Tamandua tetradactyla: one gene and its partners. The protein of the gene in region 3 purifies or fractionates together with the protein of the main gene of each other region. This does not show direct contact. Links are inferred from orthologs where the notes say so. Each region holds a gene or a part of one and is shown on either strand. Other genes may lie near its edges. The genes, in order: COPE, ARCN1, COPB2 and COPG2.

The links.
Region 1: the proteins of COPB2 (region 3) and COPE purify together in Homo sapiens (affinity purification with mass spectrometry; 4 studies listed by BioGRID and IntAct, with this or other methods). This does not show direct contact. The link is inferred for Tamandua tetradactyla from reciprocal best matches to the Homo sapiens genes COPB2 and COPE.
Region 2: the proteins of COPB2 (region 3) and ARCN1 fractionate together in Homo sapiens (co-fractionation; 5 studies listed by BioGRID and IntAct, with this or other methods). This does not show direct contact. The link is inferred for Tamandua tetradactyla from reciprocal best matches to the Homo sapiens genes COPB2 and ARCN1.
Region 4: the proteins of COPB2 (region 3) and COPG2 fractionate together in Homo sapiens (co-fractionation; 4 studies listed by BioGRID and IntAct, with this or other methods). This does not show direct contact. The link is inferred for Tamandua tetradactyla from reciprocal best matches to the Homo sapiens genes COPB2 and COPG2.

Annotation. Positions count from the first base shown.
Region 1 is NC_135337.1:95,906,325-95,913,957, reverse strand, and holds the start of COPE (coatomer subunit epsilon), read right to left. Parts: upstream 3,007-7,633; 5' UTR 2,946-3,006; coding exon 2,820-2,945; exon of another isoform or gene 2,704-2,819; intron 1-2,703. Other genes in the region: putative ATP-dependent RNA helicase DDX49, read left to right, coding at 3,303-3,432, 4,367-4,490, 5,286-5,371, 5,457-5,578, 5,819-6,006, 6,121-6,261, 6,967-7,042, 7,221-7,297 and 1 more. UniProt on the Homo sapiens protein: The coatomer is a cytosolic protein complex that binds to dilysine motifs and reversibly associates with Golgi non-clathrin-coated vesicles, which further mediate biosynthetic protein transport from the ER, via the Golgi up to the trans Golgi network.
Region 2 is NC_135334.1:22,115,472-22,122,683, forward strand, and holds the start of ARCN1 (coatomer subunit delta), read right to left. Parts: upstream 3,007-7,212; 5' UTR 2,849-3,006; coding exon 2,846-2,848; intron 2,489-2,845; exon of another isoform or gene 2,379-2,488; intron 1-2,378. UniProt on the Homo sapiens protein: Component of the coatomer, a cytosolic protein complex that binds to dilysine motifs and reversibly associates with Golgi non-clathrin-coated vesicles, which further mediate biosynthetic protein transport from the ER, via the Golgi up to the trans Golgi network.
Region 3 is NC_135341.1:83,463,117-83,470,749, reverse strand, and holds the start of COPB2 (coatomer subunit beta'), read left to right. Parts: upstream 1-4,632; 5' UTR 4,633-4,763; coding exon 4,764-4,766; intron 4,767-7,633. UniProt on the Homo sapiens protein: The coatomer is a cytosolic protein complex that binds to dilysine motifs and reversibly associates with Golgi non-clathrin-coated vesicles, which further mediate biosynthetic protein transport from the ER, via the Golgi up to the trans Golgi network.
Region 4 is NC_135327.1:172,420,634-172,428,228, forward strand, and holds the start of COPG2 (coatomer subunit gamma-2), read right to left. Parts: upstream 3,019-7,595; 5' UTR 2,928-3,018; coding exon 2,891-2,927; intron 1,725-2,890; coding exon 1,672-1,724; intron 1,113-1,671; coding exon 1,032-1,112; intron 1-1,031. Other genes in the region: TSGA13 (testis-specific gene 13 protein), read right to left, coding at 3,333-3,499, 6,131-6,258, 6,686-6,885. UniProt on the Homo sapiens protein: The coatomer is a cytosolic protein complex that binds to dilysine motifs and reversibly associates with Golgi non-clathrin-coated vesicles, which further mediate biosynthetic protein transport from the ER, via the Golgi up to the trans Golgi network.

The DNA of each region.
Region 1 (7,633 bases), on a different chromosome or scaffold from region 3:
TCAGTTTGTGCTGACCTGTCTTCAGTGTCCCCCCATGATGGAGCAGGCCAGCGGCTCAGAGACCAGCCACCAGCAGCCACCAGCGAGAAGTGGGCATTTGCAGCCCCTTCCCCACAGGACGGGCCCCACTGACATTGCACTTTGGGGTTGAGATTAGGTTTGCGTGTTATGAAGTGAGAAGATTCGCACGGCAAGTTCACTTCAATGTCAGAGGGGGCCCTGGAAGGTGAGCTTGAATGCGACTCCGAACCTCAAAACAACTCTAGATATAGGTGCCATTACCTCGTCTGACAGAAGGGGAAACTGAGGCTCAAAGCAGTACAGGGGCTTGGCCCGTCCCAGAGAGAGCAGAGCAGAGAGGAATACAAGCTCCCGGCTGGGAGCCAAACACAATCACGGCGTGTTCTTGTTTCCCAGCTACTAAAACAAACACCACACTGGGCCAGCTTAAACAGCAGGAATTTACGGGCTCACGGTTTTGAGTCAGGAGACGTCCAAAATCAAGGCACCAGCCAGGCGATGCTTACTCCCAGAAGCCTGTGTTCCACAGCTAGGGGCCAGCGAGCCCGGGTCCTGGGGAAATGACGTCTACAATGGGGCTTCACTCCCAGAACACAGACACAACCAACACGTCCAAACTGCGGGGAGGTGGGATTCAGAGAAGGCCCCAGAGGCCAGAGAAGGCCCCAGAGGGAGGTGGTGGGAGGTCAGAGAAGGCCCCAGAAGGGGAGGTGATGGGAGGCCAGAGAAGGCCCCAGAGAGCTGCACCCCGAGCCTGGCACCGGCAAGCAGCTGACGCATCACAGAAGGGGCTCTGCAGTTCACATGGGAGGTCCCGTCAGACCACACGTGCAACAGGGAATTCGCTCAGTGGGACCCGGAAGGGATTCAGCAGGAGGAAAGGTCAGGAGATTCCAAGCATAGAAGGATTTGCCGCATCATCGTGGGATCTGAGATGGAGGGGGAGGACCAGAGAGTGGCAGGAGGGTGGCCTCAGCTGATGGCAGTCAGGAAACACCTCAGTCCCACAAGGATCAACCTGAACGAGCCCATGTCAGCCGAGGTCTAGCAGAACTGACAGGATGGATAAGTACAAATGTAAATATTAAGAGATACGTGACAGGAACATGCTGTAGGGTAGCAAGTCTGAGTTCCATAGGGCAGGCCACAAGCTGGGAACGCAATGAAGATTTCCATGAACTCCCTGGAGAAGCCGGTTGAGGCAGAGGTGGAAATTCTTCTTTCTGACTGCAGAAATCCTGTTAGTTCTCCCTTCAAGGCCTTCAACTGATTGGATGAGGTTTCTCTCATTGCTGAAAGCAATCTCCTTTGTTGATTGTAGACACAATCAGCTGCAGATGCAATCAACTGTCTAATGCTTCAGATCCAGAAAATACCCTCCCAGAAGCAATCAGGCCAGTGCTTGATTGACAAAACAACTGGGCACCATAACCTGTCCAAATTGATACACTGACATAACCATCCCAAGCCTAGAAGCAGATTCTCCCCCAGAGTCTCCAAAAAGGAACATACCCCGTCTACACCTTGATTTAGCCCAGTGAGACCCAGGCCAGATGTCTCACCTACGGAAATTGTAAGATATTCCATTTGTGCTATTCTAAGCCATTAAGTTGGTATGAATTTGCTTCAGCAGCAACACAGAACAACAACTACACAAATGTTGTTTCCACAAATCCTAACAGCTTACTAAGGTCCAGGACACCGACTCAGAGAAACCAGGTGAATCCATCAGGTGCCAGAAACAAGGCAAGTGTCCAAATTCCTCCTCAGCCCTCTGTCGCCTTAGGGCTCCAGCAGTCTCTCATGCCTTCAGAAAAAACTGCAAACTCCTGCTATAACCACCTCATTCTCTGTCCTCCCCCTCATTCACCCCATTTTGGATCACAATAAAGAGGCCCAGGCTGGCTTCTTCCACCGTGACCAAGCCATGCTTGCACAACTGAATGGCATCCTTCAAAGAGATATATTGAAGTCCCAACCCTGAGCACCTTGGGACGTGATCTTACTCAGAAATAAGGTTGTAATAGGTGAATTAGACAGTTAAGCTAAGCCTGTACACATGACTGGTGTTTGCATAAGAGGGGATCTGACACAGAGAGGAGGACGAATGCCAAGGATTGCTGGCAAGCCACCACCAGAAGCGAGGGGACAGGCACAGAACAGAGGTTCCCCTACAGACCTCAGAGAGAGCCCGGCCCTGTCCACACCTTGACTGCGGACTTCTGGTCTCCAGAACTATGACCTCATAAATTCATAAATCTTTGTCGTTTTAAGCCATCCAGTTTGTGGCACTTTGTTACAGCAGTCCAAGGAAACTAAGACACCTACAAATGCTCAATAAAGAATGAATGCGTGAACAAGCAAGTGAAGGAGAGGGTTTTGGGAGAAACAACCGGACTAGTCGGGCAGGATAGCTTCGGGAAAGCCACTTTCCTTCCGGAGCCTCGCTGCTGTCAACTGTACAATGAGGACAGACATCCCCACCTCACAGGTGGTGAACGCACAGCGGGCACTGAGCGGGCGCTCGGCAAAGGGACTCAGGGTTCGTTACGCTGTTACTACTGTTATTTACCGTGACCCTCGTTAGAGCGCTACACATTGCTCCTAAGTCAAACGCCTGCAGGGCGCAGAGTGGGCGCTCAGGAACAGGAAGTGGTGCCGCCTTGGGTTTCCTGACGGAACAACGGAAATGCCCCGGCGCGCTCTGAAGGGGCGAGCGGAGGGAAACCGCCTCGAGGAGACGAAGGGAAATTATGAGAAGTGAGCGCGGCCCGCGATCACCCACGCCCCGGCCGCACCTTCACCCGCTGCGCCTCGTTGATGCACTGCTGGTAGCTACCGATGTAGAAGGCGTTCTTCACGTCAAAAAGCTCGTCCACCTCGCCCGGGCCGCCGGGGGCCGGGCCGGGAGCCGGGGGCGCCATCTCCTAGTCTCACTCGCTTCTCTTCCGGAGGGACACGTCGGCCGGAAGCAAGCGCCCACCGCGGAGCACGCCGGGAAGTGTAGTTTTCCTTGTTCCGGGAGGCTGAGCTCTGAGCCAATGGGAGGCTCGTAAGCCGAAGTAGGGGGGGCGGAAGACGCAAGGGCCTCTCGCAGGGCATCTCGGGAATTGTAGTTTAGCTGGGGTCTGGCATTCGGGGACACGCGGTAAAGAGGCGGTGGAGGCCGGGAATGGTCAAGTAAGCTGAAGGGGGCGGGATCACCAAGGAGGAGTAACCAATGAACGAATAGGTTCTCGTGACGCCATTGGCACGCGCCGGAAGCGCGGCTCACACTGTTCATGCTCGCGGCGAGGATGGCAGGTTTCGCGCAACTCGGGCTGTCTTCGTGGCTCGTGGAACAGTGTCGGCAGCTGGGTTTGAAGCAGCCCACGCCCGTGCAGCTCGGCTGCATCCCCGCCATCCTGGAGGGTGAGTACTCCTCACCCTCCGCCTCTCTCCGCCCCCCTTCCCTTCTCGCAGCCTTTGCCTATGGCCGGTCCCGAGGCGAGGACCAGCCTTTAGCGTGCCGGGCCAGCCTGAGCTCCGGAGGCACCCAGGACTGCGATACCGTTTAGACTGCACGATTCGGTCTCTGCGTGTCTGCAGACAAGTGGCTTAACCTCTCTGAACTTTCCTAAATGTGAAGCACAGATCGGGTTTGATGAGTGACTTGTCAATAGTACTGTGGGATTTGGCAGAGCGGGACCTGCTGTCTTTGTTTTGCAAAAAAGGAAACTGAGGCTGTCAAAATTGGTGCTGGATCCTGGACCACGTGGTCCCCTGACCGTCCTTCTCCCCACTTTCCTTGCCTAACTCTGTTTTGCCATTTAAGACGTCCTGGGAATTTCAGTTTTTTACTGCTTTCAGCCCAGTCTTTCTACTCAGTGTCCTGTTAAAAAATGAGAGTTGTTTGTGTAGGCCTAGTGCTCCTTTGGGGGGATATTTTAGGGTGTAACAAGTTGAGGCCCTGCGTAAAAGGAAAGTGAAGGAAGCGCTGTGGAGTGTAGGATGCAGGTTGGGGGAGGGCATTCCAGATTTCCCAGTCCCGGATGCTCCAGACGAGTGAGAATGAGGCGGTGGCTAGCAGCACAGCATCTTGGGTCAGGTGGACATGAGTTCTCTCCAGTCCTTCTAGTCACCAGCTCTGTCCTGGGCGAGTCCATGAGACTCAGCATCTCTCTCTATTTAATGGGACTGGTGATGGTTTCTCCTTTATATGGTGATTGCTCACGTGCCAGGAACTTAAAGGATACAGGCTGGAGCAGGGTTTGCAGTAACTACTTATTAAATGCCGGCTGTCCTAAACTGCCGCATGGAACTGTTTGTGGAGCATGTGGCTGCTGCTTTGTCCTCCCCTGCCCAGGTCGGGACTGCCTGGGCTGTGCCAAGACAGGCAGCGGCAAGACGGCAGCGTTTGTCCTGCCCATCTTGCAAAAGCTGTCTGAGGACCCCTACGGCATCTTCTGCCTCGTCCTGACTCCCACCAGGTAAGCCCCCCACGGACACCCTGGGTGTGATTAACTCGCTGTGTTCTCTGGGACAAATACCTTCACTGCTCTGTGCCACACTTTTCCCATGTGCAAAATGGGGTCAGGCATCGAGCCCAGAGCCTCAGCAGAGAAGTCCAGAGATCCATACAGTGAAAAATAAGAGTGTTCAGTACGACCCAGCCATTGACTGGCACGAAAAAAAAGGACAGGTCCCGTGACAAGCAGTGAAAGCTGAGTGCCAGGCGGTGTGCATTTAATTGGATCTGAGGAGAGGGGTCACGGGAGGCTCTGTGTGAAGGATGCCAAAGGGTCACGTGGGGATGAAGCAGTGTAGACCAAAGAAACCGCGAGTGTATCTATGCAGGGGTGTAAGGAAAAGATAACAAAAAGGTGGTGGAGGCAGCTCACGAATGGCCTTGAGTGCCAGGCCAAGGCTTTCGAATTGTTTGAGAGGTGTGAGCAGAGAAGAGGACGCAAGCCAGGGAGGGGGTCCGGGTAGAGCTGGGACTTTGGGGCAGGGAGGAGGGGACTGGGCAGGGCAGAGGAGGCTGGTGCTCAGGTTTCTCTGGCTTGGGCGCGGGGGTGACTGGCGAGGCCATTACTGAGAAGGGGACCATGGAGCAGATGCAAGTTTGGGGTAGGGGCAGGTGCCAGTTTGGGTGGAGTTAGAGGGAGCTAAAGGGACTTGGTGTGGATGAGTTGGGAGGCCAGGAGGAGGCCTGGAATAGGGTGGGGACGGGCGGCAGGGGCGGGCGCTGTGCTGGCCTCAGTCCAGTGCCTGTGCACCCACAGGGAACTGGCCTACCAGATCGCTGAGCAGTTCCGGGTTCTGGGGAAGCCGCTGGGCCTGAAAGACTGCACCATCGTCGGTGGCATGGGTAAGGGGGTGCCGGGGGTCTCCGGGCCTGGGACCCCCAGCGTCCTCAGAGCCCCACCCAGCCCCCGCTCCTCCTCCGCCCACAGACATGGTGGCCCAGGCCCTGGAGCTCTCCCGGAGGCCACATGTGGTCATTGCCACGCCAGGGCGCCTGGCCGACCACCTCCGCAGCTCCAGCACCTTCAGCATCAAGAAGATCCGCTTCCTGGTGAGCTGGCTCGTCGGCCCCAGGCCGGGCTCAGCCTTCACATGGGGGGCTCAGATCCGTGTCGTCCCCCTCCCCCTCCCAGCAACAATGGATCACCCAGCAGAGTGTTAGGAACTGAGAGGAGGGCAGCCTGGGGGACCGAGCAGCCGGGGCCGCACGCAGCTGAGACTGGCGTGAGGAGGGCGCTCCCAGGAGGCAGGCGGCCCTGGCTCATGGGCCTCACCCCCATCTACCGGGCAGGTGCTGGACGAGGCCGACCGGCTGCTGGAGCAGGGCTGCACCGACTTCACCGTGGACCTGGAGGCCATCCTCGGGGCAGTGCCAGCCCGGCGGCAGACGCTGCTTTTCAGCGCCACGCTGACCGACACGCTCCGGGAGCTGCAAGGCCTGGCCACCAACCAGCCCTTCTTCTGGGAGGCCCAGGCCCCGTGCGTCCCGGGGGCCCGGGGTGGGAGGGATGGTTGGGGGGTCATGGGCGTTCCAAAACCGTAGACCGAGCTGGGCAGGAGAGAAACTGAGCTCGACGGCCCTGCCCATGCCAGGGTCAGCACGGTGGAGCAGCTGGAGCAGCACTACCTGCTGGTGCCCGAGAAGGTCAAGGACGCCTACCTGGTCCACCTGGTCCAGACCTTCCATGACGCACACAAGGACTGGGCCATCGTCATCTTCACCCGCACGTGCAAGTGAGCAGGCTGCCCCGCCCAGGCCTCGGGACCCCAGCGCCCTGGTCTCTCCCCAGCAGCCACACCAAGGCCACAGCCCTGGGCTGGGCAGCAGGTCCCGGGAGCCTGGGCACAGTCTGGGCACATAGAGGCAGTTGGCTGAAAGCAAAGCTCAGGGTCGGGCCGTGAACCTGGGTCACCCAGCCCAGGGCAGGCTGGGCCCCGCTGATGCCTCAGCCCCTCTGCAGCTCTATTGCCAAGCAGCCCTTGAGGCCCCGAACCCCCTGGGGAAGCTGCCATGGCCCAGGGTGTCACTAATGCACGGATGTCCAGCCCGTACCTAGCTGGTGGGCCTCTCAGACTACTTCACATTGGCTCCTACCAGAGGCTGGTCTGGCACGAGACAGGTTGGCTACCCCACCCTATGCCAGGGAGCCAGACTTTCTAACTGGCTGTTTCCCAAGGAAATATATCAGTTACCAGAAAAGTGAAGGGCTGGCTGGAGAGCGGCTGTCAGGTACGGCGGGATCCAGCAGCTTACATGATGCTGACTGGTCTCTCTCACTGCCTGTTTCCCGACTCTCCTTCTTGTGGGTGGCAGAGTTTGGTGACAGCAGACCTTCCGGCACCAGCCACCCTCCCCCTTCCTGAGCTGTGCGGGGCCCCCTGCTTGGCTTCTGGGGGGAACGGGGTGGGAGGGGCTGACAGGTGTGTCCTCACCTCCAGGACCTGCCAGGTTCTGTGCATGATGCTCCGCAAGTTCGGCTTCCCCACCGTGGCCCTGCACTCAATGATGAAGCAGGTGAGGCCGGGCCCTGCGCCCCGCACCAGCCACGGGGACTTCACCCTGGCCATGCCCTCCGCTGGGAACATGCTTTTAGCCATCCTTGCTGCCCCTTCTCCCCGCTGCCCACCCACACCCAGCTTGTCCCCGTGCTGAGATGCGGCCTGAGCCCCCTTGCTTTCCCAACCTGGCACAGAAAGAACGCTTCGCCGCCTTGGCCAAGTTCAAGTCCAGCATCTACCAGATCCTGATTGCCACGGATGTGGCCTCCCGGTGAGCGGCCAGGGCCCCGGGGTCCCCTTCCCCAGGGCAGTGTGTGGCATCCCTGAGGGCCTGAGGACAGGCAGCCTGGCCACGGCAGGGTCGGTGGCTTAAGTTTCCCACTGGGTGAGCGTGGGTGCGTCCCAACCTCAGCCCCTTCACCTGGCCAACGATCTGAGCCCCCTCTGCTTGCAGGGGCCTCGACATTCCCGCAGTGCAGGTTGTCATAAACCACAACACCCCTGGGCTCCCCAAGATCTACATCCACAGAGTTGGCCGGACGGCCCGTGCAGGTGAGGGGGAGGGGGAGGGGGAGGGCGGGAGGGCGGGCAGGGCACCGGGCAGCTC
Region 2 (7,212 bases), on a different chromosome or scaffold from region 3:
AAGAAAATTGTTTCCCTTTTTTGCTGTTCTCTAAACAACAATTAAAAGCAGATACGTCAAAAATACAATATCTATGGCAGATGCTATACTGACTATGAAAAGAAAAAAAAAATCTAGACAATAATAATAATACCCCAATCGGAAGGGATTTCAGTTTCTCCCCCATCATATATAAGATTAGCCATATAAGGTCCCAAACTAGCTTTCCAATAAAAAATGACTTCTTGGAAATGAATTTACTGTGCTGATTTACATCTAATGTGACTAAGTTTACTCATTGTCTATTCTTGGTAAGGAAAGAACAACGCTCTACAAACACGCAAAGATTTTACAGATAGGGGTTACTATGACAGACCCAATACCAAGTTTATGCATTAAAATGTAAGTTTATTAAGAAAAAGAGCTGACTATAACTACCTGATAAATGTTAAGAATATTTTCTCATTCATTTGCAGAAAGCTAGAAAAAAGATCAACTTAACAGATGCCATTTTTGGTACTTCATTTTATAATGAAGTCATCATAAGCCATTTGTTGCATTTGTTCATTAATCTTTTGGGACTATGTAGTCTAGGACATTCTGAGTTCACTTCAGTTACTAAAGACAAACGGAACACTTATTTTTCAAAAACAATTTTCATGTACTGACAGCTTTAATTTACTTGGTAATGATTAAAAAGATATTGAGAGATGGATGGATGAGTAGATGGGTGCTAAAACAAGTAGAGTAAAATGTTAATTATAGAATATAGCTATAATATATTCTATATATTACACAGTATGTAGAATATATTAATATATAGAATATAGCTGGTGGCTATATGGGTGTTCTTTCAACTTTTCTATATAGTTGAAAATCTTGACATTGTTGAGGGAAAAAAAAACTAGCATTTGGAAGTGTTTTATGTTCCCTCCCTGCTCTGGATGCATTGCAATCTTCTTTTTCTTCTCTCTTTATCTTTTATTTCCCACATTTATTTATTTTTTACATGGGGGGCACTGGGTCTCCAGCATAGCAGGCAAGAACTCTGCCACTGAACCACCATCGCCCGCCCACCACCTTTATTTTTAAACAACAGAAATTTATTGACTCACAGTTAAACTTTTAGAGGTTTTGATACAACTTTGCAATCAAAGAAGTCTTACATTAATACAAAATTTCACCCTATTTGGACATTTCTACTGTCCAGGGATCTTTTTGTAAAGGGGCTGGGAACCAAAATATTACACAGAAATAGTCCCTGTGTTTTAGGACTCTACAGAGCAAGCTGTCCTGAGATAAGTTGTTCTTCAGAGTTCACAAATCTGTGACTATCTGGATCATGCCAAGTCCATAATAATAATAATAATAATAATAATAAATATATATACACACACATAGACATAATATAACTGAGTGTATATATATATGCCCATATGGCAACATAACACAAGAATTTATACTTTATCATCACTTAATAAGGGCCTTACCATCTCTCTGTTATTGATGAATGAAAAACACTAAGTTCCAACTCGACAAAGTTTTACAGATTATCTGTATTTGGTTTATATAATACAATGCTTTAATTCTGCTGTTAAAATGATATGCTCTAAAATGCACTACAGATACTTACAGTGTGTAAAAAGAAAAGGGGTTTAAAAATCACTGTCCAAATACTGGGGCTCGTAACAGAACCGAAAAGACAAGTTTCTGGAAATGTTATGTCTAACACTAAGTTCTATGAGGCACAACTGCTTGATGCAATTTACATATCTGAAGCTAGAAAAAAACCTTTAAATGGTTTAAATCCCCCCATCCAAATTTACCTCTAAAAGGTTGTCAACCGAACTCAATACATTGGCACCAAATTACATTCTCATCTTTCAAGCATGCAGGAAGACATTTTAAATCAAATCATTAATCTATAAATTCTATTAAAAAGAAAAGAACATCCTTCAAAACAGTGAAAGGCATAAGGTGCCCTAAAAATATACTACCAGCTCCTTTTGAACAGGACAGTTTTTTCCTACTTCATGAACGTTTTACAAATCGGTAGTGATAAAGCAACATTTAGAGAAGTCAGCAGCAATTCCGTGTTTTGGCCTCACCTGCGTTAATTTTTACACAAAGATAACGCATCTGAAGGCAATGTAGAGGTCTCGGTGTATAACCCACCCCTTTTACCCCTCCTCCTAAGACACATCAGATTACGATACGCCAACACACATTTTACCTGACCTGAGCAATAAATTCCTTGAAAGACAAAAACCCTATCTTCTCTTTAACTCCCTCACATCTTCCCAATACAACGTACACTCATTCACACTGACAAATGGATACATGCAAGTACTAGAGTAGTAGTAGATTTCTATAAATCAGCGTTAGAAGTTACTCCTCACCGCTCTATGCCTCCATTTCCTCCTTCCGAACAAACAAAAGAAGTCCTGAACACCATGGATGTGGATTCCGAACAATACAGATCTACCAAACACCGAGAATGCGAGACGAGCTGAATACAAAAGGAAGGGAATTCCTTAAAAAGAAGTCCATTGCTGAACCTAAGTGCTCACAGAACCTGCTGGACACCAGGTCCGAGGTCCGCAGCACGAAATCGGCGACATCCTGGACCAAGTTCTAGTAGAACTAAGACCCCAGCCCCAGCCTTGTCCTAGAAGCCGGGTCCGTCAGAGGAGAGGTTCCGGACGCAGGGCACAGGGAGACCACACGACTCCCCTAGCCCAAAGGGAAAAGCTCGGCTCTAGGCCCTGGGGCGGGGCTCCTGTAGCCCCAGAATCAGGCCGTCCGGCAGGGAGAGGAGGCGACCTAAAGCCCGACCCCGGGACTTCGGGACCGGTTCGGATCTTACCATGGTGAGGCTGGTCGTGAGGGGCACTCGCGCTCTAGCTCCACTGGGGGTAGGGCTGGGGTCAGGGGAAGGGCAGCACCGGCCGCTCGGGACCTGCTGCCCCCCTGACAGGAGCCTATGCCGCTTTGCCTCCTGCCAAGATGGCGGCCCCAAGCCACGTCTCCAACCGGAAACGTCGCGGGTCAAAGGGCAGAGGGCGGGGCGCGGTGGAGTCGCGTGGGGAACTTTAGGGTACCGGGCTGCGTCTCCAATGCTAAGGATATGTGGCCAGGCTTTCCCTAAACGTGTAACCACGGACCTCTGTCTCTTCTCTCTTGATCCTCGTCCTTATTCTTTTTGCGTCATTTCTTACAGCTTATGAAGCTGTCCCACAGCCACTGTATCATGTAATATTCAAAAGAACCCGTGTGCCTAAGGGACTAGTACCCAGAATATATAAAGAACTCTTACAACTCAATAATAAAAAGATAAATAACGTAATTTTTAAATGAGCAAAGGATTTGAATAGATTTGTCTACAGAGAAGATACACAAATGACAACAAGACATGAAAAGATGCTCAACATCCGTAGTTGTTAGGGCAATGAAAATTAAAAACCAGGAGATACCACTTCACCCACTAGGATAGCTAGAATAAAAAAAGGATAATAACAAGTGTTGACAAGGCTGAGGAGAAATTGGAATCTTCATACACTGCTGGTGGTAATACAAAATACTGCAGCAGCTTTGGTAAACAGGTCAGCAATTCTGAAAAAGTTAAACAGATTTACCATATGACTTGGCAATTCCACTCTTAGGAATACACCCAACATAACTGAAAACATATGCCCACTCTAAATGAATGTTTATAGCAGTACTATAATGACCAAAAAGTGGAAACAATCCAAATGCCCATCAACTGATGAACAAAATGTTGTATATCCACAAAATGGGCTATTATTTACTCATAAAAGGGAATGAACATTACCTGCTACAGCATGGATGAACCTTGAACATATTATGCTAAGTGAAAGAAGCCAGGCACAAAAGGTTCCATCTTACATGGTTCCATTCACATAAAATGTCCAGACTAGGCAAATCCATAGAATCAGAAACTGTACTAGTGGTTACCAGGTGCTGGGAGGAGAGAAATAGGGAGTGAGTGCTCACGAGTGTAAGGTTTGTTTTTGGAGTGATGAAAATATTCTGGAATTAGAGAGTGGTGATGGTTGGACAACTTTGTGAACATAGTAAAAAACACTAACTTGCACACTTTAAAGGATGAATTTTATGATTTATGAATTATATCTTTAAAAAAACCTAAGTGCAGGTAGTAGAGCAGTTATTGTGCTTATTATGTCCATTTTGCAAATGAAGAAAATGAACTAAGTTTAAATGACTTACCGAGTTTCCAGTATATAATAGAATCAGGACTCAAAAAAACATCTTTCTGACTCTTGTTAGTTCTTCGACATCAAATGTCAGATTTCACAGAGTATATTTTATACTTAATTCAGTTCTTCATTTTATCCTATATACCCGGCTCAGTCTTACAGTACTCACCCATATTTTTTCAAAAATATTTTTATTGATACAGGGAGCATCAGCCACAAGATTTTCATAATCACATGGTCACACTGTAGAATCTATATAGTTACACAATCATCTTCAAGAACCAAAGCTACTGGAACACAGCTCAACAATATCAGGTACTTCCCTGTAGCCACTCCGATACACCATAAACTAAAAAGGGATATCTATATAATGCATAAGAATGACCTCCAGGATAACCTCTTGACTCTGTTTGAAATCACTATACTCACCCATATTAAACCTATATATGTCTGCAATAAAAGATAGCAATGATGTTTTATTGAGAGCTTATTTTGTGAGAGGCACTTTATTTTTTTAATTTTTTTTAACTTTTATTAATTAAAAAAATTAAACAAAACATTAAGATATCATTCCATTCTACATATACAATCAGTAATTCTTAATATCATCACATAGTTGCATATTCATCATTTCTTAGAACATTTGCATCGATTTAGAAAAAGAAATAAAAAGACAACAGAAAAAGAAATAAAACGATAACAGAGAAAAAAAGATTATACATACCATACCCCTTACCCCTCGCTTTCATTTACCACTAGCATTTCATGTGACAGGCACTTACATATGTTTTCTCTAATCCATTACAACCATCCAGGTAAGTACACTGAGAATAAAAGAAGTTAAGCAACTTGCTCAAACTCACAGTCAGCAAGTGGTAGAGCCAGGATTCAAACCCAGCTTTTCTCATTATCTCTCCTGCGTATACTTTTTTTTATAGAACACTCACTGCGCAGCAGGCATTACTCTAAATTCTCGACTCATTTAAGACTCACAATGATTCTCTTTGATAGGTACCATTATTAGCCCTCATTTTACAGGTGAGGAAATCAAGGTACAGAAAGGAAAATTATTTTACCAAAAGGTCTCCTGGCTAAAATGTAGCAAAGCCAGAATTTCCACAAAGGCTGCCTGACTCTAGAGCCTGTACAGTGCTAGACAATAGACTGCTCAGTCTTACCCATATCAATTCCAACTCAAAGGGCCTTCTAACATAAAAAAAAAAAAAGTAAAAATCCTCTTTGGAATTATTATCTTATTGTGGCAGATCCCAGAGACCTGCAAAATGGACCTCGGGAGCTCAGCAAAGACCAATTGGTGCCAATTCTTTGGAAACATGACATTTGTGAAATTAAAGTGCAGAAGAAAAAGTATCCCTGCCAGCATGCGTCATGAGGCATGGCTTAGAGGCAGTATACCATAATGGTTAAAAGCAGAGAATTAACAGTCAGACTGACCTGTGTTTGATTTCTATTTCAAGCACTTACAAGAAGGGTGACTCCAGGCAAATTAAACTCTCTCAGCCTCAGTTTCCTAATTTGTATACTGGTAATAGTATCTACCTCATAATTTTGTTAAATTAGATAATATATTAATAAATTAGACTATATATTCTAAGTGTTTCTACATAGTAAGTGCTCAACAATATGCAGTCATCATTAGTAGCAATAACAGATTGCATAAACCAAAATATTTTTCAGTTCCAGTATTAACTAGAAGACTCTCAAAACAGGCGTCTCTCATTTTCCTTTTTAAAGCTGCTTTTCTGCTTTCCCATGGGAGGTTTTCTGAGTTAAATTTCCAATATCCTCTTCTTTGTTTCTCTTTCCCTGGATTCCCAAATTAATTATGAGTCTAATTTTGAAATACTTCTTTCTTACGTCTTCATTCACTCCTTCCTTTATTCATCGACCCAACAAGCTTTAAAACGCCTAATTTATGCAATGCTCTGGAGCTATGAATAGTTCAAAATTTAATCAGACACAGACCGTACCTTAAAGTTTACCTAAATTCTGATTAGACTGATCTAGGAGGAATTACACGCCCAGCGACCCTGTCTAGGAAAAAACACGCAGTGTTTTCCAAATTGGAAGGCTGGCTCCTCATCAGACCGCTACGCCACGCACCGCCGCTAGATGCCCCCGCAGACGCATTTTCTAAAACCATAGAGAAACAGGCGACTTAGCTGCCCAGAGAGACTTTATTCGAGCCCTTCTAGGTCCTCCTTCCTGCGCACAAAGAGCCTTCGCTGGAAGGAGCGTGACGCGCGGGTGAGTGAAGGAGTTCTCACGAGAGCGAAAGCAAGTCTCGGGGTGCGTTTTTTTTGCCTAGCGACTGACGACAGGCGGGTCACTGCAAGTGGAAGCTCTTAAGTGGCCAGGTCTAAGATTGGAGTGAGCCCCAGTCCAAGACTGGGGTTCTTTCCATATAGAGGAGACGGATTCGGAGGGGCTACAGGTAATTCCTACTCACTTTAGCAGAAAGGGAACTACCTTCCTCTCTCCCAGAGGAATTCAAGAGGACTGTCCTTTCCCCTAGTCCCCGCTACCTCTCCCTGTCTCCATGACAGCAGTTCCTCACTCTCCCATCAACACCTTGCGTCCTTTACTACCCATTAAACTTAAGTGTGATCCAGCCTGCAAAACGGGTGGAGGATGGGGGTGATGCTTTTGGGATTATTGGATGGGACTGAGAGACTGGAGTTTACCCTCTCTTCACCTAGATATGACTCCAGAGATAGGTTTCTTTCTAAAATCTCTACAGCCTCCCTTGAGAAACCCCAGTAATCTTGGAGGAATTGACCGAACGGTTGCCTTTTGCATATATCTTGTAACTTTGGGTAACTGCTGCAGAAGTTGACTGTGTTTTTCCTGCTCAATTCCGTTTCTTCAGGCAGCCCACTGGCAGTTCCTAAATAAGGGTTGTGACAGTTTAACTTAATTGCTTGGGGCCATGAAGTCTTAAGGAAAGTTTGGCTGAGGGTGAAAGTTTTTAAAC
Region 3 (7,633 bases):
ATCCGTGGAGGCAGCCGTTTCTTTTAATCCTGATCCAAAATTGGAAGTGGAAACTTTTGAGTAGATTATCCCCATGAAGATAGGATGCACCAATTATGGGTATGACCGTTGATTAGATGGAGATGTGACTCCACCCCTTCCAGGTGGGTCTTTAGATTAAGACTGGAATCCTTTAAAAGAGGAAACATTTTGGAGAGAGTGAGAAATGACAGAAGCCTCAGACCCAACAGAAACTTCACAGCAGAGAGAACAGAGACACAGATATTTGGAGATGCTCGGAGCTGAGATGTTGCCATGAGATGTGAAGCAAGCCAGAACCTGGAGAGAGCTAAGGGAAGCCAAGAGATTAAAGCCAGCCCCCTAAAAGCAAAGTGAGGAGCCCCCACAGGAACAAAGGCTGAAAGCAGTGGAGCCCAGGAGCCAGGCACCAACAGATGCCAGCCACGTGACTACCCAGCTGACAGAGGTGCTCCTGACCCATCGGCCTTTTTTGAGTGAAGGTAACCTCTTGTTGGTGCCTTAATTTGGATACTCTCACTTCCTTAGAATGTAAACTTGTAGCTTATTAAATTCCCCATTATAAAAGCTGTTCCATTTCTGGTATATGGCATTCTGGCAGGCAGCAAATTAATCCACTTTCAGTGCAACATTGCTAACATCAGCATTTGCCCTTCAACACTAATCTTTCGGTAAAAATGAGGCATATTCATCACTTCCATTTCTTTATCATCCAATAATTTCTTAGAAACTTGCTTCTCTTAGCAGTACTCAGCTGAAATGTTTTGAAGGCTACCAGTGCCCTAATCATTTAATTCACTGGCAATATTTTTCCAAATGCTAAGCCTCCTTGAGTTCTCTACAGCCATTAACACTGCTAATAGCTCTATGTTCTGACTTCCCTGTATATCCGTGGCAGAGAGTTTCCCTGGTATTCCCACTTTGAGCGTTCCTTCTTTATGTCATTTACTGGCACCATTTCTTCCACCCATTCTCTAATTAAAGATATTCCTGGGCAGTGTGATGGTGGCTCAGTGGCAGAATTTTCACCTGCCATGCCAGAGACCCAGGTTCAATTCCCGGTGCCTGCCCATGCAAAAATAAAAAAAGGATATTCCTCTGGTTTCATTAGATTCAAAACATCAGCATTTGGATGCTTCTCCCTTACCTCACAACGAACAAGTCATTTGTATATCCTATTGATTCTAGCTTCTCAGGGAAAAAGGAAGAAATCACGGTCTAGAAAAAAAGAGCATTAGTTTTGGCAATAGACTTGAGTCCATCTCAATTTTGTCCCTCATTCTCAAACAGTGTAACATGGAGCATATTACTTAAATCATCTGAGCCTCAGTTTCTCATCTATAAGTTGGATAAAATAACACCTATCATTAGGATCATCAAAAGGTTTGCAGTATGCAAAGTGCATATCCCAATGTCGGATACATAGTGGACACTCAAAGTTACTCATTATTACTGTTATTTCCATACCTACCTCCCCAAAACTTGTAGTCCCTCACTGTCCCAATCCATTTCTTCCAGGGGACCATACACATCAACAAAAGCTGAATCTCCTAGAACCTGGATATGAACAAGTTTCTTTTCTAGCCCAATGGTTCCTAATTGCTTACTGAATCAAAGCCATCAAAATCTAATTCCTCCTATCATTCAAAACTCTGCAGGTTCTAGCCCAATCTCATTCACTGCTGTTCTAAATGAAAGCCATTCTCCAAGCAAACTGGACCTTTTCTGGTCCTTAAACACACCATACATTCTTCACCTCAATATCCAGCTCAAATTCTGCCTCCTTTATGAAACCTGTTATCCCCCCTACCACGGTATTTATTGGGACATCCTCTCAGGGTACCCATATTCTGCCTGGTATTCAGTATTTGTACATAATTGACCCTTTCTGCTTATAGATTATAACACGTAGGAGGGGAGAAAGTCAGTTCTTCATGCTTCTACTTGACACTTTGCTAAGTGACAAGGCTAAGCAAGGCTAATTGATTCTTCCTCAAGGAATTATTTTCACTTTTTCAACTTCTTACAAAGGGGTGTGAATAGGATAAGAAGGAAGGATATCCCAGAGTACAATAAGAATCACTGCTGGCTGAACTTCCACTTGGAATTCGTCCAGCAGCAGCACAAACACAGAGTTGAAACAGCCATCTCAGAGATTGACAAGGTAGGGCTTTGAGGTCTGTTGATCAATTGCAATCAACCTCTTGGAAAACCCTTTAACAATTTGCTAAACTTCTACAATTTGCTAAACTTGTCCATATTTCCTTCCTTTCCCAGAGCTATTTTTCCAACCTTCCAGTCTCCTCTAAACCAGAGAGTAAGCAAAAGATTTAATTTACTTTAAACTCGAGCAAAAAGAGATATATTTATGTATTAGATTATGTTTGAGAATATTATTTCTTTAAAAAGAAATTTCTTTCAACCAAACCCCAAAACCAAATTTTTCTGGATATTATCTTAAGCACTTATTATATAGTGCTTTGTATACAGTGAAAATTCAGTGTGTAAGGGGTGAAAGAATGAAGAATGAATTTATAGCCTACAATTGCAGAATTAATATTGGATAATTACAGTGGGAAAAATGAGGAAAGATACAAAGTGAGAATAATACTTGGCAACCCAGCCCCTACCTCTACGCCAGTTAGATTAATCCTTGGATGCCTAACAATATGTAAGGATTTAATAATCCCCAACCTTGAGAACAGATGTTCTAGTCTGCTAGCTGCCAGAATGCAAAATACCAGAAACAGAATGCCTTTTAAAAAGAGGAATTTAATAATTTGCTAGTGTATAGTTCTAAGGCTGAGAAAATGTCCCAATTAAAACAAGTCTATAGAAATGTCCAATCAAAGGCATCCAGGGAAAGATACCTTGGTTCAAGAAGGCTGATGAAGTTCAACGTTTCTCTCTCAGCTGGAAGGGCACATGGCGAACATTGCAGTGTCTCCTGGTTTTCTTATGGCTCTACAAAAGGGACTGTCTCCAAAATGTTTCCTCTTTTAAAGAATTCCAGTAAGCAACTCCACCTTCAGTGAGTGGAGACACACCTCCATGGAAATCATCTAATCAAAAGTTACTACCTACAATTGGGTGGGTCACAGCTCCGTGGGAACCATCAAAATGCTTCTACCCAGCAATATTGAATGAGGATTAAAGGACATGCTTTTCTGGGATCCACCACAGATTCAAACTGACACAACAGAGATGGTATATCATTTTATTCTATATTACTGTATTAAGTAATACACAGTTTGAAGATACGTCCTCAAATATAGAGTATCCAGGAATCAGACATATTGAAAGCCTCCAACATTCAAGCAAATCAGATACAGTTCATATCTGTTAATTTTTCAACGAGCTCTTGTGATCATCAACTGCTCCATGGAGTAGGCAAAGTATGTCATTATTAGTCACAATTTATACATCACGGGATCACACTGCTTGCCCTAAAACCAGGTACAGGATCCGTTCTTTTTTCTACTATTGAATGTCACAGAGACACAGGATGGTAAAAATGGAATAATTTTTAAATGGATTTTTTTTTGGGGGGGTGGGGTGCATGGTCGGGAATCGAACCGGGTCTCCGGTATGGACCGCGGGCATTCATTCTCCCACTGAACCCCCGTGCACCCCATGGATAATTCTTAATCATCCAAGCTGTTTGTTTGTTTTCCTTAATGAGGAAAACAGAGGCCCAGAAAGAAGTGACACGACTAACCAGTGGCAAAGGTCGGAAGCCAGATAACCTGATCTCTGAATATCACTCTACACAGAAACACATATGCACACTTTTTTTCCCTTCTTGAAAATCCGGAAGTCTTAAAAACTGTAAAGCGAGTTTTAAGACCACATTTATATGTCGCCGGAGGCGAGTTTTACTGTTTGAGAAAAAAAGAAAAGAAAAGCCAGCCGAGGGGGATGAGGGGGGTTGGCAGAGGCCCCGCACTTCACGCCGTAGCGCCGGGGGCCCAGGTCCGCGTTCCGGGTTCAACTGTCTTCCCGGGAGATGCTTTCTGACGTCCGAGAAGCCGCACGGGACGTGGAGGACCTTTCTACAGCCCTGGGTTCAGAATCCTGACTCTACTTCTTACTATGTGGGGCATTTCACTTCTTCGGGTCTCGGGTTTGGGAGGAAAGCTCGTCGGGCACACAACGCAAGACGGAGAAGAACATGTGGAAGAAGTAACCGTCAGGGCTCAATAAATGGGCATCGGGTCCAGCGCGGCGTGTCCCTGCCCCCTGGGGAGCTCCAGGGCGGAAGGCTCTTCGGCTCGGCGGGATGCCGGCCGGGTCAGTGTCCGGCCCGGGCGCGCAGAGCGCCCTCGTGTCCCTCTCCCTTTCTCCTCCTCACAGACGGCATCAGGGGCCGCCCCACGGCTCCTCAGCCTCTCAGCTTGCGGGGTTTCCCTGCCCTTAGCGTCCGACAGGGGTTGAGCACTGCGTTTTTCTCTCTCCCGCACCTCCCGATTCAGGAGGACTTGGCCACACTGAGGACCCCAGGGCCGCCTCCCTCTGGGGCCGAGGCCACACCCCCGCGTAGAAGGCCGCATTGCCTAGGAAACGGGGGCGCGGCTTGGGAAACGACGGCTCTGCGCAGGCGCCCCGGCCGTGGCCTCTGACTATCGCGAGAATTCCCTCCCGGAAGTTCCACGTCAGTCAGTCTCCCGGTACGAGGGTCGGTGGGTCTGGCCGAGCCGGAGTAGCTGTTCGCAGGCGAGGGCGCTCGGAGCCGGACGGAGAGAGCCATGGTAGGCCCGGTCCCCGCAGGTGGGAGCGGGGCCCCGCCGGCTGCGGCCGAGTGTCGGGGCTCCTGGACTGGGGACGGCAGTGAGCAGTGGCCCGGTCTCCAGCCGCGCCGCTGCCTCCGGCCTTGCCACGTCCTGGTGCAGCTTGAACCCGGAGAGGGAGGCGGAGGGGCCCAGGAGGCCGCGGTGGTTTGCTGCTGCGAGCGAGGGATCCTTGAGTCCCTCGGTGCTTACGGAGCTTCCTAGAACCGCGCGGTCGTCAGCGGGGTCCACTGTCCGGTGGAATCTAAGAGGCAGACGGTGTTGGACTCCGTAGGAGGTTTTGACAGAGTTACTTACTATGCCCTTAAAACGGAGACCGCTAATCAAATTGTGTTTGTTCTGGGATAAGGTGTGCCTTCCACAAACTTACGAGCTTAAGGAGAGATGCAAAAAAAATTAAAGTGTGTGTGGAGTTAAAAGTGAAATTTTAAGTGCTTTGGGGTGCCAGCCCTGAGGTTTCTAGTGGGCAAAGGATTGGAGTCTTGAGTAAAATTGGTTAGTGTACATTTCTGCATTTGCAGAGCAGTGTCTGGTAAGAATGGCAATCATGACGGCACTTTTCTTATCATCCCACCATTGAAAATGACCGAAAATAATTTGGAACACTGCGTCCGTTATGTATTTTAATTGGAAAACAGTAGTGTGAAAATAATGCCCTTTAAAAAAAAAAAACTTAAGAGAGGATTTTATATTTATATTTAAATGTTTTCTATCTTTTTGCTCATTTTGAAGCACAACATCAAAAGACTTTGGAGTGTGAAGAACTTATGAATTAATGAATCCAAATCCTTCATCTTGCATTTTAAAAAAACAACCTAAAATTAAGTTTGTTTAGCTAATTGAAGCCTAGCTGGAACTAGAGCAGAAATTCTTATCATTTTTGTATGGATTATCGATCCCTTGAAGAAACTGGTAAAAGTGATGGATACTTCCAGGAAGGTGCCTAAAGGAGCATACCCAGTCTTGCATTAGAATTTATTTCAGTGGGCTCACAGGCAGCAGCATATTGACACCCATCGCCAGTCTCATCCATGAACTTATTTGGGTCCCCAGTTTAAGAGTCCCTGAAGGAGGTCTCAAATCTCTTAAAGATACTACATACTGCTATGACCTGTGGTTTAGGGTCTGCCATGCTTGCAATGATGGACATTTTCAGAAAAGGAGCTTTGATCTGCCTGATGTAGTTTCTTTTGCAGTCTTTACAGTTAAGGATGCATGTTCTTAATGAAGGAGCATTTCTTTCATTCTTTACACATTTGCAAATTTTTTTGTAAAAGATGTAAAATGTTCATTACCATAGAGCATTTACTGTGCAAAACACTTGCCCATATTTCCTAATCTCACAACAACTGAGAGATAGAATTATAAATAATGTTTATTAAGTACTTACTGCAGGCCAGGCACGTTCTAAGTACTTAACATTTAATTTAATTCTCATAACACTAAGCAATAGATGATAGCATAGCCTTAATTTACATCTGTCAAACTTGAGAAAGGTTAAGTAAACATGCCCACTAAACTGTAATTTCTTTCTGGTCCGAGTAATTTTCTAGACCTGATTTCTAGATCCCACCAAATATATATGGTGCTGTGGAGATAAAAGACATGTCTACATAATGACCCTGCCCTCAAGGAGTGTCTGGAGTAGTAAACAAGAAGAAACATGTACGCAAATGTACCATGAATGATCAAAATGAAATGCTGTAGGAATTTAAGTTAAGTAAGGAAGGGATACTTCTGGCTGAGGTCACCAGAAGGGTCTTATTAGTGGCAGTGCCATTTAAGCTAAGTCTGAATGTATTCAGTTTTTGGAAGATGGAAACAGTGAGAGGCATTTAGAGTTGAACGCACAATATGAGCAAGGCCGTAAGACTTTCTTAGTGCATCTGGCCTCTACTCTCCTCACGGAGAGTAGGCTGCTTTTCTTTGTAACCTGGGGAGATGTCTACGTTTGCATCGCTAATGATTTGTGACAGATATTTGCTTTGTGGAAATAATACAATGAATAAAGTGTAGAGGAAGGAAATGGCCCAGCATATTCAGGGACCAAGGAATATTGAGTAGTTTAATTTGATTAGAGATTAAAATTTATCCAAGAGTATGGTGGGAGATAAATCTAGAAAGGTAATTAGGAATAGATTGTCCAGGACCTTGCGTATTAGGAAAGAAGTGTTATTTTTATTTGATTGCTATGAAACCTTTGGGAGTTTGAGCAAGAGAGGATTCAGGTGTTTTGGGAAGGGTCCTCCGGCACATGAGAAAGATTGCTTAGATGATTGGGAGATGGAAATTGGGGGAAGGGGCAGTTTGGGAGCTATGAGAACCCTGCTGGGGATAGTGACAGTAAGATTGAAGAGCAAGATGGTTGTAATTATGAAAACGATTTGAAAACTGGTTGTTTGGTGGAAGGAAGAAGGTATTGAATGAAGCTCGTACCTGTAAGCCCTTGTCAAAATGAGCTGTTCATCCCACCTTCAGCCTTCTCTGACCTCGGAGACTTTGCCGTCCTTTGACTAGGAGACCCCCACTTCCATCCCCAGTAAAATGAAAGCAAAACTGATCTTGCCCTCAAAGAGCTTAGATTCTGATCAGAAAAGCAGACAAATAATCAGGCTACTTATAATCTCTCTCTTATACATACAGACACTTACATGTCACTAAAATCTTATTGAAATGTCACCTTCAGTCTGACACATTTACTAATGTAACCATCTGAATTTTCTTTTGCTTCCCTTTTAAAACATTTGTGACATTTGCTACCTCTTTTGGCATTTCCACATTCTGCCTTGTGTTGCATTATTTATCTAGTTTTTTTACCTTTCTCACCA
Region 4 (7,595 bases), on a different chromosome or scaffold from region 3:
ATGTCAGTAAACCGATATATTTTATTTAAAAGCATGTGTTTATTTCTCAGTCTGCATTTGTAAACAGCAAACATTTATTAAATCTCTGGATGATGTCTTCAGTCATGATTCAGAGTAAAGATAAAATATTCACAATTCAAACTGGAAACCAGTCTTCTTAGTACAAATGTAAACCACTCAAGGTAAGTGGGTGTGCATGAATCTAAGAAACAAAATCACATTTCTAACTCCCTAGATATGTCATGAGATTTTATTAGCCTTAGGCAAAAAAGAAAAACATAAGAAAAATACAATTAATGACAATAATAGCAAGAAGAATCCAAATTCCATGAGAGCATATTTTGTCTGCTCCATGCTCAGTACCTAGAACAGTGCATAGGACATAGCAGGTATGCAATAAACATTTGCTGAATGACAGAATAAAAATTATTTCTGAATGCTTACTATGTGCTGAACTCTCAGTTCTTACATTTATAATTTCATTTAATCATTACAACTTCATAAAACAGGTATTGGCATGATCCCCATTTACAGAAGAGAAAATAAAAGGACAGTTAAGTTAGTTGCCCAGAATCATACTGCTAGTTAACAATTAAGTAGGAATAGTAAATACAAATCAAAATATTAAAATCAAATCAATGATTAAAATAAAAGCTATGGTCTAATCTACAAAAAAAAGAGTAAAGATATAAGTCTGGAATTTGTCTAAGACTTTGCACTTTATTTTTAGAGGTACATAAGGTACATGTTCTAACATTAACTAATACTTGTTAAATTCAAATCAATAAGCATTTATTGAGAACCTACTATATAGTTAGCTAGCTTAGTAGCTCACGAATACAAAACAAGTATATGTGATAGTCCCTGTCCTCGAGACATTTTACATATTAGTATGTTAATCAAATACTGTACTTTTAAAACTTAAATGAATTTTTAAAAAATAAATAATTATACTTTCCAGAAAGTAGTTCACTGCATGGCACATATTTTTACTCCAAGACACAAATCTGAGGAAAATGAAAATAATTTACCTGGTTGAGTAAGTAAAGAATCTTAGTAAGAATATGCAAACATCTTCTGGGATTGATCGGAGTTTCATTGAATATACGAGCCTATAAAACAAACATAAAAAACCAGCTTTAATAAAAGAGATTATATATAAAATATCACAATGTCCAAATAATGTCAATGGCTTACAGTTTTCAATTTATTATATTTTATTAAAATAAATTATTAGATAAATTATTAGATGTGATCCTCATTTTCCCATTTTATACCTTCTAATTCATTCTCTTAGGTCCACTACTTAATTTTGTGAGCTTTATCTCTTAAATAAGAATCACAAGGTTTATCTACATCATATGGCTACAAAAAGCTTAACACCTATAACTTCCTTTAATAACCTTGCACCAAACATCTCTCCTGACATTTTATTTAAAATTCCCAATGCATAGCAGAGCCTGCATGCCCGTGCATTTCTATAAGCTCTAGACTCTTCTATGGCAAGTAACCCCTCTTCCTTTTCCTTCAAGTCTCTAGTCTCTGAACTCAGTTATATTCCCTAATTCCATCTTATTTTGGATATCCTGATCACAACATCCCAGGGGTTATACGCCCACAATTCTAAGATAGAATATGTAAGAAAGAGCACAATGTAGTTCTAAGCCATACCTCCTGTAAGACAGCACTCTTCTCCAGATGCTGAAAAGGATTGGAGCTACTACCTACATTACAAAGAAAAAAAAAAGCCTTTAACTGTCCTACACAAACTTATTTACATTCAACAGAAGGTTATCTAGTACTTGGGAAATCGCACCTAAGTGAGGTGGCCACTTGGATATGGCAGTGGTCATTATAATATGAATACAAATTGGATAAAATTATTTTGATTCTTGCTTTAAGATATTGGACTTCTCTTTTGCAGCGTCTTCTTTTCCTCCCCTCTTTTTACATGAATGATACAAATATATGTCATCTCCACATAATATTAAGGATATTATAGTAAAGCACTTTGGTCTTCCTAAAGGCAAGCACTATTTTTTGTGCTTATAAAATTTACTGAGAGATAGAAATGAATAATCTAAGAGAGAATCACACAAACTTAAACCCTGGAAGGGATCATGAGGTTTACTGAGCCCTCCATCGTGTTTTGTGAGTGTGGCTATCAAGCACTGCATACTGGTTTTGGGATGACTTGGCATCTTCCCCACTTCCACTGGATCAAAGGCGGGTGGGTGTAAGTCCAAACTCACTTCTGGGAGTCAGAGCATGAAGTGAGCTATGTACCATGGGACTGTCTTGCCCCCTGGGAAGTAGACAGAGAGAATGTCCCAGGGAAGACTATAAGGTATGAAGCGCAACAAACTTCACATACACACTGTCCAGTCAATCCCAAACCCCAAAACGGGGCTCCCACTAACACCAGGAGCACCCACGGCCACTCAAAAGCGCACGCTCACACCTTCAGCCACCTGCCATGGGCCCGCCCCCTCTCCAGGCAACCCACGCCCCCGGAGCAGGGGGGAGGAGGCGCGGAGGGGCTACGCCGCCGACGGTTCGGCGCCCGGGGACAGGGCACCTGGGGCGGGAGGGGCCGCTGCGAACCCCCAAGCGGTGCACGGGTAGCAGCGCACGAGGTTGCGCCCGAGTGCCTGGGTCGCGAGCGCGCGACTCGGCCGCCCAAGGGGAGGCTCTGGGGCCCGGGGGAGGGGCTACTGGCAGGGTCCCCCCGCTGGAGCGTAGGGGAGGGGCTGGGCTCAAACTCCGGCCCCTCTCACACCGGTACCCGCGCCCCGCCCCCAGGTCCGCAGTCCCAAAAAGCAGGTGGCGGGAGGCGGAGAAAGGGGCCCTCCCGCAGGTGAGGGTGGCCGTAAAAAAGGCCAGCGCGTACCAGACTCCTCGTCCTTCTTGTCGAATTTTTTAATCATCTTGGACGACTTCCCAGCGCCCAGACCCACCACCACCGTTCAGGGCGCCGCAGCCGGCGAGCGGAAGAGGCTGCAGGAAGGCCGACCCCGGGCTCTCGAGCCTGTTGGGCTGCTTTCCCGTCACTCCGGTAGAAGGTCCGCCCTCCTACCCCGGCTGTCAGCGGCGGCTCTTCTCCCCGTTCCCCCGCGGCCACGCCCTCTGCTCCTTCCCTACCCGGGCGGAGGCGGTGCGAGGCGCTGGCGTTGCCGCCAGAGCCTGAGAGGTCGGAACGAGGTGCTTGCCAGCCCACTTTTACGCCCGGAGCAGGCAGGAATGTGATTTTATTTGATTGGCATGTACTCGATAGCAGACTTTGCCGGCCCCCTCAGTCTCCGGAGTGGGAGGTGGGAGGCTTGAAGAGTTTTTCACTTAACCACAGTGGCTGTTTTTATAATCCACTGCTGGACCCTTCCATTGAGGAAGGTGCTGTTTCCTGGCACAGTTCTAGTGGGCTTCTCTCCCAGGAGCGATGAAAGGGTTAGTGGTTCCCAAATCACCTTGGAAGTCGGTATTTCACTCACTGGCTTGGAAACTGCAATAAAGCACATGGCACCGTTAGGTGAAGGTGTGCTTCCGGAGGGTCTAGAGGGAATGTGAAGCGTGAAGAGACTTGGAAGGGCCAGAAAGCTGGTTTTTACTCTAAGCGAGCGGTAGATTTTGGACCTTTCCCAGTCTTTGTGAGTTTGGATTCCTAGCCCTCATCAAAACCTGATTTAAACATACTGCCAGTTTAGACTTCTTCTATTCCTCCCCTTTCAAATTATTCCATCTTCAACCATATTGCCGCGTAACTCTTAATTGGTTAACTTGCATTCACCTGTATATTCATGATCCACTGAGAATTTTACTAAAGTGTATGTTGGTTTCCAGTTCTTTGAGAGTGTAACTAAGAAACTTTTCCTGTCTTTAACTTCAATGGCATGACTTTTTATCCAGATTCTCTTTCAATTTTTGTGGATTCTTAGGAAGCTTTCACTGTGAGATTTTCTTTCTCCAGTCCCTCTCCACTTTTGTATGCATTATCTTTTTTTTTTTTTCACATGGTCAGGCACTGGGAAACGAATCCAGGTCTATGGCATGGCAGGCGAGAACTCAGGCGAGAACTCTGTCAGTAAGCCACCATAGCCTGCCCTGCATTATCTTTTAAATATCCCTTGAATCTGTTCCTTATCTCTACCACTATCATTATCACCTTAGTACAGATCCTCATCATCTATCTCTTGGACAACGTCCTCTCCAGCCTTTCTGGCCCCATCTAAACCATTCTCTATGTGTTCTTTAGTTGCATGCCTGGTAAACATGGAACATTATTAGGGGCAGGGATATGCTAGCAATCTCCTTTTCTAGAAGTAGAGACATTGGTCTCCACAAAGATTGTTTAGGAAAAGCACTATAATGGGTCCTTTAGGTATATGAGTGGAACAAGTATCCATTCATTTTTTCTTTAGGGTAACTGTAAAATTGCTATAAATCTAGTAGATGCTGCAGATTGAAATATTAAGTGTTCTATTTAGAATGTAAATTGGGTATGTCCGTAATAAGATTGTGTGCTTGCAAAAGTACATTCTTTCTCCCAAATATGGATTTAAGCTGAACTATTGATATCCTACATATAGTATCATCTAAGATTTAACTCATATTTTACCAAATGTGCTATCAACTAATATGTTTTTTCTTATCTAGCTTATGAAATCCAGATCATATTTTCCATGTAGAGTTTCCCTTGAAGGAAGTAGATATTCCCACTGTCATTTATTCTGGGGCTGAAAATAAAGAAACTATGGAGAAAGAGAGAATCTCTTTCTCTTTCTTGGGCAAAGGGTCTCAGGGACCTAGGCAGAGAGCGTCCACAAGCCAGGAGATTCCCAAGAACAAATAATATGCTGAAAGCATACTGGGAAATATTAAGGAACTGAGGTTAGGTTTGAGACCAAGCATAACGGTTGCCCCTTTAAGTGCAAGATAAATCGCTCACTACTGTTCTGTAACTTTCCCCTATACCCATGAAGTTTTGTGTAACAGAACAGCTTGGTTTTAGCTGTATAGGGGAGTTAAAAGAGGCAATGGGTGGGGTTGGAGTGCAGTGACAGATAGGCTCAGGAGGAGCAGAGAAACCTGAAGAAGCCAGTTAAGCAATGGTATGCTATGACTCAGACCTCTAGAACAGTGCTATTTAGCCTGAGAATAGCAGGAAAAGGTGTTAGGCAATCACTAGGATGGTTCTGAGGAACAAGTATACTTTAGGGAGTCTCAGAAATTACTTGAGAGACCCAGTAGGAGAAAATGAACCTTATTTTGAAGCCATAAGTTGATGAAGTTTAGGGACCCATCGGTTATACTTCTAATAAATGTGTATTCAGTACTCGGAAATCCTTCAGTGGGTTTCAATCGCCTACTGGATAAAACTCAAGCCTTTACTTATGTAATATACAAGGCCCTTCATCATCTGGTTTATCTGTCTCACGTATTGAAAATGCAATTATTGGTGCTTGGCAAGTATCCAACACCTAGTAGCTACCACCACCACCACCACCACCACCATTAACATTAATTTAATAATAATATGTGAGGAGCATTCTCTTTTCACCCTTTCTCACACAACCTTATTCCAAACCCTTTCTACCCTATGCCTTCATGCTACCTGGAAAAGACTGTGGCTCTCCAAGACTCGTACACTTATCCTTTGACCCTTCTAGTTCAGTTTCCCCCAAAGTGTAATATGCGTGGATGGTTTTAGGTGATACCTAGATAAACATTTTAAGGTATTATGAATTTGATTTAATGTGTGTCAAGAAAATTATATAATTAGTATATCAAATCTGTGATGTCAAAGATATGGTTTTGCTTAGGAAAAGAATCAAGAAAAAAAATCCTCTTAAAAAAATACTAATAATGGGACACATAATGCATTGATAAGGCAAAGCAAGCCTATCAAAATGATACATAATGTGGTTTGGTAAACACTTAAGTTCTTGAAACTTAAGAATATAAACAGAGTCCAAAGCCTAGCACCACTTGAGCCTCCATCAGGTCCTTGCTACAAGGGAAAACTAGTCTTCAGTATCACCATGCGATGATTTTTCTACATCTCCAGTCCCCATAGGTTCTACCTCCAGCCCACATCTCAAGTCAGAAAGCCATGCTTTACAAGAGAGGAACTTACCGTCTTTCCTCATATCCCTTTTAGAGACTGGAGCAAAGGTGAGCTGAGGGTACATATTTTTCTGTTTCCTCAAAGCATAGACCTTTGAATACTTCCCTTCACTCTTGAAATCATTGTCAGTGGAAAACCTTAACAAAGAAAGTTTGTTTAGTAGATCCTAGGGCAAGTTAATGGAACTAGTCACTTGAAAGTCAGCCACATTTTAAAAAATTCTGTGAGATAAGAAGGGACAATGACTAGAAGGTATTGATTGGAAGAGAGTTGGAGTATTGTTCAGTGGCAAGAGACGCTTCTGGAACCTAGCACTGTAAACCTTTGGATAAACTCTAGAACCTCCTCCCTTTTCTCCAAACTAAGTATAGTCTGCTCTGGTTTGCATTACTCTCTTTTATCAGAACATAAATGAGGTTGAGGCTCATGTAGGAAGCGATGTCTTATTGTTACACAGTCATACATATTCCCTACTTTCAAAAAGTGTTGAATGTACTGAAGAGAGTAACACAAATGAGGAAAAGATAGGAAAGAAAATGAGTACAAGAAGAACCAGGGTTTCACCTAAACCACTGTTCTCGCTTGGATGCAGAATTGTCCAACAGTGTCACCGGGAAGGTTGGTTTCAGCTCAGGTCTTGACTTTTTCTTTTGAGGCATCAGGGGCAGACAGAAGTTTTCAATGGGTTTGTGCTGATAATGACTTTCCTGCAGCAGAGGGAAGAACTGCAAGTGAGGGAGTTCCTGGACAAAGTTCCAATTCCCCTAAAATGATGCAGTAAAACCTGTCAGATAGTGAAGTGGAAACTCAGAAACTCATACGAGAAAAAGCCTCTTCTTGAGTGGCATAGTCCTGTCGGTTTCATTGTTAAATAACTTGTCCAAAGCGTGGCCAGTTTTCTAAGTAACTGACTGAACTTGCCCACTGGCCCTTTGTAGTGAATGGTATAGGAAGTTACCCTGTTTTTGAGGATTCAATTAATGAAAAATCAAATATTTGGTAATTAATTGGGCAATAGATCCATGGGGCTGTACATTCATTTCTCAGAATCAGCTGCCTCGTCACCATGCCACTCTCTGCCTGCAGTGAAAAGGCCATGGAATGGGATGTTTTTGTTTTGTTTTGCTATTTTATTAGAGAAGCTGTGGTTTTACAGAAAAATCATGCACAAAATACAGTGTTCCCATATACTACCCTATTATTAACATCTTGTATTGGTATGGTACATTTGTTTCAATTGATGAAAGCACATTTTTATAATTGTACTATTAACTATAGTCCATGGTTTAACTTAAGGTTCATTGTTTATGTTGTGACATCCCATGGACTTTTTTTTCAAAAAAATTATTCTAGTAACATATATACAACCCCAATTTTTCTCTTTTAACCACATTCAAATATACAATTCAGTGCTGTTAATTACATTCACATTGTTGATCTACCATCACCACCATCTATTACCAAAACTTTTCCA